Rattus norvegicus: one gene and its partners. The protein of the gene in region 2 interacts with the protein of the main gene of each other region in a pairwise test. Links are inferred from orthologs where the notes say so. Each region holds a gene or a part of one and is shown on either strand. Other genes may lie near its edges.

The links. The genes of interacting proteins can lie anywhere in the genome.
Region 1: the proteins of Acy3 (region 2) and Pmm2 interact in binary tests that used the Homo sapiens proteins (3 or more experiments, as listed by UniProt). The two-hybrid records come from large-scale screens. The link is inferred for Rattus norvegicus from reciprocal best matches to the Homo sapiens genes ACY3 and PMM2.
Region 3: the proteins of Acy3 (region 2) and Plekhf2 interact in binary tests that used the Homo sapiens proteins (3 or more experiments, as listed by UniProt). The two-hybrid records come from large-scale screens. The link is inferred for Rattus norvegicus from reciprocal best matches to the Homo sapiens genes ACY3 and PLEKHF2.

The regions. Positions count from the first base shown.
Region 1 is NC_086028.1:7,486,367-7,490,796, forward strand, and holds the start of Pmm2 (phosphomannomutase 2), read right to left. Parts: upstream 3,189-4,430; 5' UTR 3,125-3,188; coding exon 3,071-3,124; intron 349-3,070; exon of another isoform or gene 1-348. Other genes in the region: Tmem186 (transmembrane protein 186), read left to right, coding at 3,390-3,392. UniProt on the Homo sapiens protein: Involved in the synthesis of the GDP-mannose and dolichol-phosphate-mannose required for a number of critical mannosyl transfer reactions.
Region 2 is NC_086019.1:210,707,767-210,712,323, forward strand, and holds the start of Acy3 (N-acyl-aromatic-L-amino acid amidohydrolase (carboxylate-forming)), read left to right. Parts: upstream 1-1,570; 5' UTR 1,571-1,620; exon of another isoform or gene 1,621-1,898; 5' UTR 1,899-2,042; coding exon 2,043-2,278; intron 2,279-2,731; coding exon 2,732-2,927; intron 2,928-3,286; coding exon 3,287-3,380; intron 3,381-3,484; coding exon 3,485-3,592; intron 3,593-3,691; coding exon 3,692-3,801; intron 3,802-3,913; coding exon of another isoform or gene 3,914-3,949; exon of another isoform or gene 3,950-4,528; coding exon 4,529-4,557. UniProt on the Homo sapiens protein: Plays an important role in deacetylating mercapturic acids in kidney proximal tubules. Also acts on N-acetyl-aromatic amino acids.
Region 3 is NC_086023.1:28,900,536-28,905,284, forward strand, and holds the start of Plekhf2 (pleckstrin homology domain-containing family F member 2), read right to left. Parts: upstream 3,189-4,749; 5' UTR 2,957-3,188; exon of another isoform or gene 2,942-2,956; intron 1-2,941. UniProt on the Homo sapiens protein: May play a role in early endosome fusion upstream of RAB5, hence regulating receptor trafficking and fluid-phase transport. Enhances cellular sensitivity to TNF-induced apoptosis.

The DNA of each region.
Region 1 (4,430 bases), on a different chromosome or scaffold from region 2:
AGAGGTCATATCCCGTTACAACAATCACAGTGAAAGGTGACTTGTTCTTCCTCTTCTAGACTGCACTGTGATTAGTGATGTTTGACGATGCACACGGATGGAGGGAGGGAAGGCTGATGATACATAGATCTGTTGCTGGAGTATTTTAATTGCAGTACCCAGCATATAGGAGACTTCACTTCTAAGTTAGTTTTCTTTTATTGCTGCAATTGACCGTGATCACTGCAAGCATATCGTTCCAAATGCTGAAAGCACATTCTGGTCACCAGGCTCTTCTTTGCTATCCAGGGACACAGAGGCAGTTTCCCTGTAGCTTATCTAGTACCTGGAGTGGCCTCCGTCCTGGCACTGGAAAAGGGAATGACAATTAGGACACTGAACAGTGCCCTGAAGTTCAGGACCTTGAACCACAGCTGCTGTAGGAGCGGAGGCGTCAGGGCTTTACTAGTTTCAATTTCCTTATGTTAGAATGGTGGTAGCTGGGTAGTATATGCCTTTATTCCCAGCATCTGAGAGGCAGAGGCAGGTGGATCTCCATGAGTTCGAGGCCAGCCTGGTCTTCAGAAATAATCCAAGGACAGGCAGGGCTACACTAAGAAACCCTGTCTTGAAAAACCAAAACCTACCCAAAGAAACAAACCAAACCTCTATGGTTCCTGGGCCAACTGAAGAGCAGTTTCTATAATAATTTTATTTTTATTATGTGTATGCATGTATGTGTGCCACAATGTACAAGGGGAGGTCAGAAGACAGCTTGTTGGAGGTGGTTCTCTCTTTCCATCATGTGGACTCCAGGAATTGAACTCAGGTCCTAAGGCTTAGGGGTGACCACATCTCAATGGCCTCTGTAATCAAGTTTTATTAGAACATAGTCACTCTTTATATATGGTCAATGGCTGCTTTTGCACTAAAGTTGAGTAGTTACTGCAGGCCATATGCAAAGACAAAAGTACTTAATATATGACCCTTGACAAAATACGAATTCTGATTCCCGGCTCTAGACTACTATTGGCTTTTAAGTTCTGAAGGTTTGTCTCAAACACTTTATATAGCCTAGGCTAGCCCTGAACTTTCAAATCTCCCTGAAGGGATTAAAACCCTATGCCACCTGCCCATGTAGCTACTGGCTTGACTCACCAGTGTGTGTTGGGCAATGAAGCTAAGTCAGGAAGGGCTCTGGAGAACTGGTAGTGGAATGTCATCACTGGACAGATCACACTGGCTCAGAAAAGTAGAATGAGGGACAGAAGAGGGTGGGTTGTGGTTCAACTACAACTAAGGATGCATTTAAAAGCTTTCTGAAAACCTACTACTTGGTAAAGTATGTATACATACAAATGTCTTCTACAGGACATGAATTATTTAAAAAACAACAACAAAGAACAAAAACGTTGGTTCCAGGTGTGGGGGGATATTGTTGACCAGAGAGAACTAGGACCCCAAAATAACACGGGCTATTGAAATTGCTCTTGGTCGCCCACCCTAACTAAATGGTAAATCCATATTGCTGGAGACACTGCACACTTCAGTTTCAAGACACAGAGACATCAGGCTGGAACTGGCATGTTTAGCTTTCATAGTGCTGGAAGGTGCTATGTAAAGCACGGTGGAAGGAAAGTCATTTGGGGCATTTCCCAGCCATGGGTCCTGCGAGACAGCACTGACTTGCTGGGCAATGTGTACTGGCTTGTGCAATGGTGGAATGACTGTTTTGGGGGTAGCAAAATCACTTCCTGGTTGAATATAAGGCCGATTCCACAGGAAGGAATTAATGCCTCGTACAGTACTTGGTCAAAAGTCTATGACTGTGGAGCTCATAGGCACTGTGGGGAAACCTATGGTTGTTGTTTTGTTAAATGGAAATCTTGTCAAATTGCCTTCTAAATATCTATGTTTATACCCATAATTAATGCTGCTCTCAACCCTGGTAAGAAAAGTTTCTCTTTGTAGTGGGCAGTGGTTAATGCAGACTCATACCTGGTCAAAGTGCTAAGAATAAGTAGTACCCTTTATCAACCCTGCCAAGGCTCGGGGGCAGAAAGAATGTATGAGTTAGAGGATGGAGAGAAGTGTGGTAAACGAAATGCTGTCTTCTGGACATTATGAATTCAGCAACCATGGTTCCCTGTACAAGATCAAGCCAGTTAACATTTCAGCATGGGTGATATGTTGCCTATCACTTGATGGATGGCTGTGTGTGTGTGTGTGTGTGGTGTGTGTGTGTGTGTGTGTGTAGCACTAACTGGACTTAGAGAGGTATTAAAATAAAAATTTTAAAAAGGACATGAAAACAGAAGAGGGTGTGTGGGTCAGTGTTCTCCATAGGGAGCACAGGAAGGTTGGGGGGGGGGTGAATACAATCGGATACACTGTACACATGTAATTGCAAAGGAATAAAAAAATTAAAAAAAAGATAGACTGACATATCTAAGGTTACACACACTACAGGGGCTTCTGGGACACAGTCCACGAAATCTAAAAGGGGTGGGGCAGAGGTGGCGACACCCAAGCTATTTGAGCCTACTCTCATTTGTATGATTTCTGTTCAATCATGCATTTGTGCATAGGAGGCAGAGAGAATGCCATCACCAGAACGAACCCACACAAACTTATCTTTGGCTATAACAAGTTCGGTTAGCGGAAGGAAGTCCCACCGGACTTTCTAATTAGTCTCTGTGATCCTCACCTAAGCATCACATTTAAAGGGGCTTCAAGGACTCCGCGAAAGACATTTGCTCAAGGTCAGACAGCTGAAAACCTGCCCTTGATATACTAGAAGAGACAGTCAGAGGTGACAGGGCTGGGGAGGTGACACAGCAGGTCAGAGGGTGGAGGCTGGAGTTCAATCCAGGACACCAGACCCGAGGAACCCTAGAAGAAATTCGGACCCGAACTTTTCGACTCTGAACACGTTTCCTACTCGGAAGGCTTTTCTGGCCCCCTCTTCCTGCGCATCCCACTCAGGACCCCGCTCAGGACCTAGGTCTACTGGTTCCCGGACAGTCCTTACGGCGGTCTGGGGCAGCAAGGGCTCTGCCCCACCACCAGGAGCTCCCCGGGCGCCGCCTACCTGCCGCGGGGCAGTCAAGGTCCCATCCATGTCAAAGAGACAGAGCGTGGCCATTTCTCCAGTCAGAAGACTCGTTGGCACCCGGAACTCCACCCGGAACTTCCGGGTCCGCTCCGAGCCCCGGAACTCCAAGGCACGATGGGAAGATTCTCTAATGGCTTACGGGACACTCGGGGCGGATACAAAATTTGAACTACAGTTCCCAAGCCGTAGTACTTTTTTTTTTTTTCCTTGAGTTAGCGCATTAACCTCCCGCGCATGAGCCCTTCAAGTTTCCGGGGACAAGGTCGGCGTACTTCCTGTAGCAGGCGACAGGCTCATGGTAGGAATGTCAGGTGGTGGGCGGTAAAGGAGGGACCGCACTTAGCGACCGGGTCCGGCCTACGACTGGCAGGAAGGATACCTGGGCTGCCCACTCGGGAAATCAGTCGGTGGAAGGCCAGAGTGTATTTTTACGTGCTATTTCTCTGCCTTGTTTCTTTCCCTTGGGTCACATGGACGGTCTTCATCGTCCCAGTGCGCACACCAAGTTCAGCGCTTAAGAACCATGTCTCGGGGTTGGGATTTAGCTCAATGGTAGAGCGCTTGCCTAGCAAGCTCAAGGCCCTGGGTTCGGTCCCCAGCTCCGAAAAAAAGAGAGAGAGAGAGAAAAAAAAAAAAGAACCATGTCTCCCTAGCGTATTCTGAGGTTTTCTTTGGAAAGATGAAGGATGCACAGTTAGTGTCCTCTTACTCTGAAGCCCAGAATTTGCTCACTCTTCTACTTATTCCAGACAGTCATTGTGCAGTGTGTTGAGGGCCTCCGTGCCTCACTTCTCTGCTTCCCAACCAGGCTAATTCATGCGAAGAAATTCTCTTGGCGTGTAAGGCAGTCAGAGGACTGCAAAGGTTCTGTGATAAGTACCCCATGGTTTTGTTGTGTGGGTTTCCGACACCGATTGATTTACCCTTTGAGGAAGGAAGGAAGTTTTAAGTGCACTGTTGGCCCATCTCTGTTGAATGGCTGGACGTACAGGTTTTCTATGTTTATTTGGACCTGCTCGGGGGAAAGGACCTGTCTGAGTGTCAGAGACTGCTTTTGTTTCCTTGCACTTGGGGCCAGGGCCAGGGGTGGGGAGGGCCTAGGGTTTTTTTGGTGTTGTTGGTTTTTTTGTTTTGTTTTGTTTTTTAATGCTTTTTTAAAATTTGTTTTAATCGTGTGTGTGTTTAGTTCGTGTGCATTTACTTGTGCTATGGCATGTAGGGGTCCAGGATGTCCTGCTTGAGTAATTTCTCTTCCTCCACCATGTTGGCTTCAGGGATCAAATTCACCCGGTTTGGTAGCAAGCCCCAGTTCTAGATGGGCTATCTCACTGGCTAG
Region 2 (4,557 bases):
ATAAACAGCCGAGTTGTTAAGCAGTTCCTATTTTCAAGGCCCTGGAGAGTCAGCAGCACCCCAGCAGCTGGGGGGCCTTCAGACTGGACACCGGGACTTTGACTGGAGCAGAGCATGGCCCAGGAAGGAGATAGGGCACTCACCTACTCCAAGGCCCTGCCACCAGCAGGGAAGGGCTTGGTCAACAACCCCTGAGAACTGTTGACAAAAGGTTAGGTGACCTTATGAAGGTCTTTGTCCTCTCTCAGCTGAGGCCCCTATATTAAAGGAAGGGTGCCCAGGGCCACACTGCACCACTTCCAGTTCTCTGTAAGGCCAGCTGCCAGGCCTCATGAGAACAAAGGTGAACCACGGTGCTCCATTGTCCCCACACTGACAGTGCCATGGGGTGGGGGAGGGTAAAAGAGCAGACTCAGGCTACAGTGTGATCTAAGCGGCTTTGACAAGGTTACCTAGAGGGCCCCAGCCACCCAGAAACCCCGAACTGTAAGCTTGGTAAGCTTGGACCTACAGCAGGAACAATCTGGTTCCTCCATGACGTCAGGACATGCTGGGACACAGGGCGTGACCTCAGAGCCCACATGCAAACAGTCAGTGGTTTAACTGGATGGGTAAGTGGGCTGCATGGTTCACTGCCTTTTTCTTCACTGACCTCTGAACAGTGCTTGGCTTCTGCCAATGGATAGCTGAGCTCAGTAGGAGGGGCAGCTGTGGGTCAGGGGACCAGGACTTCCCCAGGACCCCACAGAGGCATCAGGGAGAGGAAAGGAACACACTCTGTCTTCCAGGTCCAACTGTCCCCTGTGTTCAGTATACCCTTAGCTACTCTGCCGAGCCTCAGTTTCCATGTCTGTAAACTGGGTCTGAGGGTTATTTCCCAAAGCAGAGCTAACAAAGCTGTTTCAGTTACAGCGTCCTTGAAGGCCATCACAAAGAGTGGACAAAACATTTTGCAGTTTTGTTTGAAGCATCAGTGAGCTATAAGATTTGAACTCCATAGGTCACAGCTTTAAAGAAGTAGGAGGTGGGCCATGTACTGCAAAGACAGTGGCAGGAAAGGAGGCTCCTTTCCCGGTGGTCCCCAAAGTACAGGGCTGCTGTGGCCAAAACCAAGCCACTGCCCACTGCCGTCTGCCTTCAGTAGCCTCAGGGAAAGCGCTTCTCTCCGAGGATCCTAACAGGACACCACGCAGGCCTTGTCTACCCATGTGGGACCAGGCACTGAACCACCGTATTTATTAGTCAGCAAAGCCAAGTCCTTTCTGAGAAGAAGGAGACATGGTTCCTGATCAGGAATCCCTGGGCAAGTGCGACTTCCAGCAGGAGTCCCCAGAGACCCTTGCAAGTAGAACTTTCCCTGTTCCCGGAGGACAAGGAGAGGGCAAGGCTAGGAACCAGCCCCAGAGACTTGGACCCATTAGGCTGAGGGGGAGTAGAGGCGGAGCTTAGGGAGTAGGGGCGTGTCCCTGGGTACTTTGACTGCCTGGCTCTCTGCCCAGCCACCGCCTCCAGTTCTCCGCCAACTTGGCACAAACATTTCCTTCCGGGGGCCTGCAGGCCAATAAATACAGTGGATGCATTGGGCCTGTGGCCTAGGGCAGCCCAGGCTCAAGCCAGCAGGTAAGAGGCCTCGCAGAGGCTCCGGGCCTGTTCAGAGGAGGGTGTAGAGGTGGCCTGGAACCTAGACACTACCATCTATAAAATAGTTCTGTGGTGATGGTGTGGGTGGGAACAGTCTACCTTCTGAATGTCTGAGTCCCCTTCTCAGCTTCGGTCCTGGGAAAGAAAAGTGGGGAGATCAACACCCATCCTCAAAGAACGTTCCTGAAGAGGGACTGAGGTTGCAAGGGGGACAAAAATTTGGCGACTGGCGTCTTAAACTTGGCTTCTGGGTACAGGTGGGTCATAACTGACATCACTAACCAGCTACCTTCACGAGCAGCCTCCTGCCTCAGACTCTTCAGGGCCTGAGAAGCTCACCTACTGTCCAAGCTTCTGGATACTAGGCTCCACGTCTCTTGTGTACTCCTTCCCACACTGAGATGTGCTCCCTGCCTGGGTCCCGGAAGCCCCTGCTCCGTGTGGCTGTGACTGGGGGCACCCATGGGAATGAGATGTGTGGTGTCTACCTGGCCCGGTACTGGTTACAGAACCCAGGGGAGCTGCAGAGACCCAGCTTCTCAGCCATGCCAGTTCTGGCCAACCCAGCAGCCACAGCTGCCTGTCGCCGTTACATAGACCGTGATCTCAACCGCACCTTCACACTCACCTTCCTTGGGTGAGTACCCTCAGCCAGGTTTGCTGGTCCACAGCCAAGTACTAGCATTCCTACAGACTGGCCTCTGTGGCTAGCAAGGCACCTCTGCCTTTTCTTAATGACCAAATGATTTAGAGAGGCCCAGACCCATGTCACCTCTTTCAGGAAATCTACCCTGACTGTAGGCTGGCTCTATCACTGAACCTTAGGCCAGACTCTTACCAGCTGGAGTGAGACACACATGGAGAATAGGACTAACATGTGAGCCTCAGGTTACTGGAGACACAGCAAAAGACTGGGGTGGAGGTGGGACTACATGAAGCATCTGGCCTGGCCAAGAGCAATCAGGGAAGGCTTCTTGTAGGAAGTGGCATCTAGCTACACCCCCCCTCCCCTGCCCAAAAGTGAGAAGTTAGCCAAGGAAAGGAAGACTGCAAAGATGTGGACTGATGTCCCCCATTCCTTTCCCCACAGTTCCACCGCTACCCCCGATGACCCATATGAAGTGAAAAGAGCCCAAGAGTTGAACCAGCTACTGGGTCCCAAAGGCACATGTCAGGCTTTCGACTTTATACTAGACCTGCACAACACCACAGCGAACACTGGGGCCTGTCTCATTTCTGAAGTCTCCCAGAACCCCTTCAACTTGCACCTGTGCCACTACCTACAGGTGGTCCATAGAGGGCAGGGAGGAGGGCAGGGAGGAGGGCAGGGAGGAGGGCAGGGAGGAGGGCAGGGAGGAGGGCAGGGAGGAGGGCAGGGAGGAGGGCAGGGAGGAGGGCAGGGAGGAGGGCAGGGAGGAGGGCAGGGAGGAGGGCAGGGAGGGGACAGAGAGATCAGTGCCACCTCTCTTCCCCGGGGCCTGCCACCTGAGGTACTTCAGACTCACTGTAACCTTCCAAACAAGGAAAAGAGGTGGGTCGGGGCAGGTGACCCTGTGCTTCCTGTCCACTGCTTTTCCCAGCGTCAGTGCCTCAGTTCCCCCTCTCAAGAAGGCCTGGGTCCTGACTGGTCCCTCTCACTCCACAGCTGCAGAACCCGGGGCTGCCCTGCCGCCTTTTCCAGTTTGAGCCACCTGGGACAGAGTCCTACAGTATGGATTCTGTGTCGAAAAATGGAATCTGTGAGCTGAGGGGTGGGGAGGAGAGCAGGGGGTGGAGCTAGAAAGGCTAGAAAAGACCCCTGGGCCTGGGGTGTCTGCCTGACATCTTCTTTCCTGATCCCCAGCTCTGGAGCTGGGCCCCCAGCCTCAGGGCGTGCTGCGGGCTGAACTGTTCTCCCAGATGAGAGCGATGGTGGCCTCCATTCTGGACTTCATCGAACTCTTCAACCAAGGTGAGACTGCCCAGTAGCTTTTAGGGAAACTGAGGTCTGAGGAAAGGGCTGGCTTCTGGAAACCAGAGGAACAAGTGGTCACACACAGCCTCCCCACAGGCATGGAATTCCCCGCCTTTGAGATGGAGGTCTACAAGAACTTGGGCAGCGTGGACTTCCCACGCACCACAGATGGTCACCTGACTGGCACTGTGCACTCTAGGCTGCAGGTCAGTGTGGCAAGGGTTGGGGGGTAAGGGTACCCTGAACACCAGACTGAGCCCCCAGTACCTTGGAATCCTGAGCTGGAAGTAAGCTGGCCCAATCCACACTTGCACCTAGAGCCTCGCCCTGGGTCTGGCATTTGGAGAAGCTTAAATCTTCACTGTGGGATGAGGGAGGCTGGTGGATACTGTCCTCCTTTAACTGGAGAAGCAGAAGGGAGGAGACAAGACCCAAGTCACCTGCTTCGACGTGCAAACGTTCTTTTTCCATGCCTGTGAGCTGACTGTCCGCATGGGGTCGCTGTTAAACAGGGTCTTGTGCAGTCTGGTAGCCTTTTTCTACAGCAGTCTTAGTAGTTTTAATCTTGTTCTTGACATCTGGGAGAGCATCCTAAGCCAGCCCTGCCCACATGCAAATGTTGCATAACATCAGCTATATTGGAGAATCTACCTTAAAAACTATAAACACGCTCTCTATTTTGTCTGAGAAGAGACTGTAAGTATACAAGAATGATTCTGGTGAGAGTATTTCTTGATGGCATCATAGCCATTTTAATTTGCACAGTATGCACCATGATGTTCTTGAAACAGCAAAATCACCCTCGTGACACATTTCTCAGAACTAATCTTGTCTCTAAGCAGTGCTCCTTGGCAAGAGTAGGGTTACCCTCCTGGGGGAGCGTGGGGGCAGAGGTCACAGCCTCAGCAACCTTGGCCTCGGCTCTCCTCCCAGGACCACGACTTTGAGCCGCTGAGGCCTGG
Region 3 (4,749 bases), on a different chromosome or scaffold from region 2:
TGCTCTTAACCACTGAGCCATCTCTCCAGTCCTCAACCACATTTTAAACTGATTTTTGTTCATCCTTTTGTCCATCCACAGCTTCTCCATCACAATTACCCATCAGTCCACTGTCTGCTGGAAATTTCATAAATATTCAAGTCTGTGTGCCCATGCCAAAATTCAGTCACCAAAGTTAATTATGTCTAAAAAGAAAGTTCAAGCACCTCATCCACCGACTGAACAGAGTCCGTGGTACATAGGGCAGACTACAGAGCCGCGTAACTATCCAGAGCTCATGAAGACTATTTCCAGTGAAAACATTCAGACCTCACCTGAGCATCTGCTCCGCCCCAGCTTGCTGAAGAACAAGCAAACGGGACCCCACCCGATGCCTGCTGTCTAGGGCAGGCCATTATAGACCTATACAGTGCTTCTAGGACACCGAGGGGGAAGAGAACAGATTCCTGCTGAGAAAGAGGAAGCATGACTGCACAGTGGGCGGAAAGCTTCAAAGAAGACAGGTCTAAGGGTTGCTCTGGTTTTGGTTGGTTTTGAGACATGGTCTCACTATGAATCTCAATCACACTCTCAGCAATTCGGCCTCAGTGTGCTGACAGGCACGCTCCACTCACACCCCCGCGTTCCTCCGAAAGGGTTGAAGAAGAAGAAATTCAGCATCGTACCCTTGCACTAGGGCCTGTTAGCAGCAGGTTACAGTGAAACCTGAATGAGAAGGATAAGTGATAAAAAGAAGGAACAAGGGTTGGGGATTTAGCTCAGTGGTAGAGCGCTTGCCTAGCAAGCACAAGGCCCTGGGTTCGGTCCCCAGCTCCGAAAAAAAAAAAAAAAAGAAGGAACAAGGTAGGCAGAGAATGCCCACATAGGGATGTGCTATGTTCTGCTCTAGAGACAGAGGCCTACAGAGTCATCAGCTTGACTGCTAAGATCTGCAGTATCAGGCAAGTAACTTCTTTCTGATAAATAATTTTTTGGTCCAAAAAATAAATATATAGGAAATGGAACTGACCTGATAGGGAGCAAAATTCAAAGGAAAAAAATTTTTTTAAAAAACTAAGAAAGCTGGGGTTGGGGATTTAGCTCAGTGGTAGAGTGCTTGCCTAACAAGCACAAGACCCTGGGTTCGGTCCCCAGCTCTGAAAAAAAGAAAAGAAAAGAGAAGAAAAGAAAAGAAAAGAAAAGAAAAGCCTAAGAAAGCTGACCAACACACCTACGAAAGCACTTTTACCTACTAAAGACTAAGAAGAGGGGCAGGGAGACGGCTCCGAGGGTTACGGCACTGAGGCGAGGCCAGGCCTGACAGCCTCAGTTCTATCCTCAGGGGCAGAAGGTGGAAAGAGAGAAGCAACTCCCACCTTAGCTCTTTGACCTCCGCAGTTGAACCATGTGACCACACAAATGTCCACGTTTGCACACACACAATAAAGAGATATAATTAAAAGTAGAGGGGTCAGAAAGGCGGCTCAGAAAATAATGATAGCAGCTGGCCCCCAGGTCTGACAACCATCCCCACACTCACATGGTGGAGAGAAGAAACTCAGGGAATTTGTCTTCTGACCTCTCCATGTGAGGTCTGGGGCCGAGCGCCTCCCCTTTCTCCATGCAGATGAGTGATTTTAAAAAATTAAAGCGTAAAATAAGGGAAGCCTCTATGGCCTGTTTACTGCTTTTGCATTGTTAAGAGCCTTTTCCGCCCATTTAACAAAATTTTAAAGCCGTCTTTATTTTTTTAAGGGTATTTATTTACTAGGCTACTTCATGCTGTACACCAGTTTCGTTTGGGGGGCGGAGGGACGTGATTATAAGGAGCTTTCCAAATAAGCATCTTAATACCATTCACCTCCCAATGCTATCACGACCCACGGTGATTAAAAATAGCCTTTGTTAATTCTAAATTAACCTGAGCCCTCCCGTCCCTTAAGCTACCAGGGTAAACAGATAAGGGCTCAAAACTCATGCACTTTTAAGGAACCAAAAGGAAAAAGAAGAAAAAAATTGAAATGTCAAGATCGATCACTGCACCCTATTCTGTTTGTTGTGGTTGGCTGGTTTGGAGGGCTTGTTTCTATCAGGCTCACGCAGTAGCCAAGGCTGGTCTAGAACTCGCAGCGATGTTTCCGCAATATGGGCACGAGCCAACACTAGGCTATTTCACTTTAGTCTTAAGACAACACGTGCCTTAACGTTTCAACTGAACCTTCAACTCTAATGTTTCTTTAACGAGTCTCTTAGGCAACGTACTAAAGCATAACAAAGAAGGCATTTACCAATTTAATGCACTTGGGAGTCTGAATTACGGCTTAGGTGTATGTAACCTGAATTCTATTCATTTCCACTGCACACTCACACAACGTGCTGCTTTAATACTCTAGGAGTATACAAGGCTACTCCAGTACTTAGGGAACCAGCTCTCGGCCTTTAATAACATTAAAAAAAAAAAAAAAACTCGTCAAAAGATCATAAAACTTAAAAAAAAAAAACTCCAAATAGCGTGTAAGCCACTGCTCCCTATCAGAGCCAACTTGTGTGGTGCCATTTTCGTATAAAGTCGTATAAAAAACACCGCTGGGACACAGCGTGCCCCTGACGCCCAGACCCTGCCAAGTTTTCAGACCGCACGATCTGGGGACCTGAGTCCTGGCGCCCCACAACTTCGAGGGACGACGCGAGGTCCAAGTCCCCAGTCGCCGTTCCCGGTCCCGGCCCTCGGGGCGGCGTCCCGCGGACCGCCGCGGCGGGACGGAGGCGGTTCCAGCCCGAGCGCCTGCCCGGAGGGGAGCCGCCCGAGCGCCCCGTTTCCCACAGACCCCAACATGGCGTCGGCCGCCGCCGCCCGGGCCAACACCTCCCCGCGCCACGGCTGGCCCGGGCCCGCGGGGACAGGCGCCCGCAAAGTTTCGCTTCTCCCTCCCCAGCCCGCCGCCGCCCGGTGCGTCCCGACCTCCATGGTACCTACCCGCCCGGGTGCGGGCGGCGGCGCCAAGGGTGCGACTCCTCCTCCTCCTCGTCGCCGACTCGGGGCGCGGACTCTGCCTGCTCCTCGGCCCCAGCCTCGCAGGGTGCGTGGGGCCCCGCGAGGCCGGCGCGATTCGGACGCGGCGGGTGCACCGCTCGCAGGTGACTTCACCGCCCCTCCAGTCGAACCCGACAACGGCCGTCCGGGCTGGCTTCCCTCCTGCGCGCGCACTGGCGCGCCCCCGCCCAAGCGCCAAACACGGGCACGAGCACACCGGCCCTGCCCTTTCTTCCCGGTTCCCTCGCCCCGCCCATCGCCTTGCCCTGCCCCTCCATCCCCACGCGACCGCACGAGGGGCGGGGTCTTCAGCGGAGGCCACACCCACTGGGGGGCCTCCCCGGGGCCGGGTTGGGGAACGCGCTCTTCTGCACAGAGGTGACGCGCACAGAAACCGGCTGAGGCAATCCTGGGTCGCCAGACCTGACTTTCCTGACTCGGGCTAGCCTTCGGAAAGGGCTCTTAAGCAGTCCGCGAAGTTCTCTGGAAGAATGGGCGGAAGCTGCCTCCACGCCTCCCTAAGGAACAGGAAAGGCTTTGCATCTCGCCACCCAAACGCGTCTGCCAGCCCCGCCCGGCTCGGCCTTGCGCGGAGCACCTGCTGTCGCTTCTCCCGAGCCAGGGGTCTGCGCCCACCGCACTCTTGTCCCGCAGGCTTCTCTATAACCTCATGCCTAAGAGCTCTGCTCTTCTCAAAACTTCCCTGGCGCCTGGGCCTCGGCCAACTGCTTCGCGTACCTAGGACTCCGTGCTAAGATAACCGCTGGGTTAGATGAGCGTTTACTAGGCGCTGCGGAGAGCTAGCACAGGTATCTAGGCGAGTGGGGTGGCCAAAGCACACCATTTAAACAGGGGAGGGGTAGAAATTGAGTTAGAGTAAACTTTATTATTTCAGGGATTTTTTTTTTAACCTCTTGTTGAGCAGTTCTAAACCTGTGGATCACAGGGGTTCGCCTAAGGCCGTCGGAGAACAGATATTTACATTGTGATTCATAACAGCAAAATTATAGTTATGAAGTAGTAACACAAATAATTTTATGGTGGGGATCACCACAATACGAAGAGCTGTATTAAAGCATTAAGGTTGAGAGCCAGTTGTTGAATTAGTGGGTCCACCGACCTATTCTATCCACAAATGAAGGGGGGAGGTGATCCTGTTGGTTTTCCTCTTGCTCTTGTGCCTGGAATTCTTTAAGTTCTTCCCATCCTTCCCTATTTCGGTGTCTGTGTAACAAACATTGCCCTCCCTACCAAGACACTTATTTAGCTTTAAGTACAAAGATGCAACCAGACCGCCTACAACTCAAAGTCTCGGCTTTGCCACCAACTACGATACCCGTTTCCTTGGGGTAGTTACCCTTAGTTCTTTCGTGTGTAAAACTGGGATAATAAGAGTGCCTCAAGGAGTCATTAGATAATCAATATTTGTAACATGCCAAGCACAAGCTAAGTGCTATGTAAGAATGATGGAAAGTATTGAAACATGCATATTCTATGTGTACACCTATATGTCTACTACACTTTACCTCGTTATTAAATATTAAATAAGACATACCAAATAATGATGTAAATATATGGAGTATTACATTTTCTTCCTGCAGTCTGTGCATTCCTGTCTCTTCCTGGGGTGTGTGCGCCCCAGTTTGGAAGCCATTTATTTAGACTCATACTGGCAAAAGCCGCTACGCAGGTGTATTGATTAAAATTTAAATTTAAGATCTGGTTCCTGCCTGACG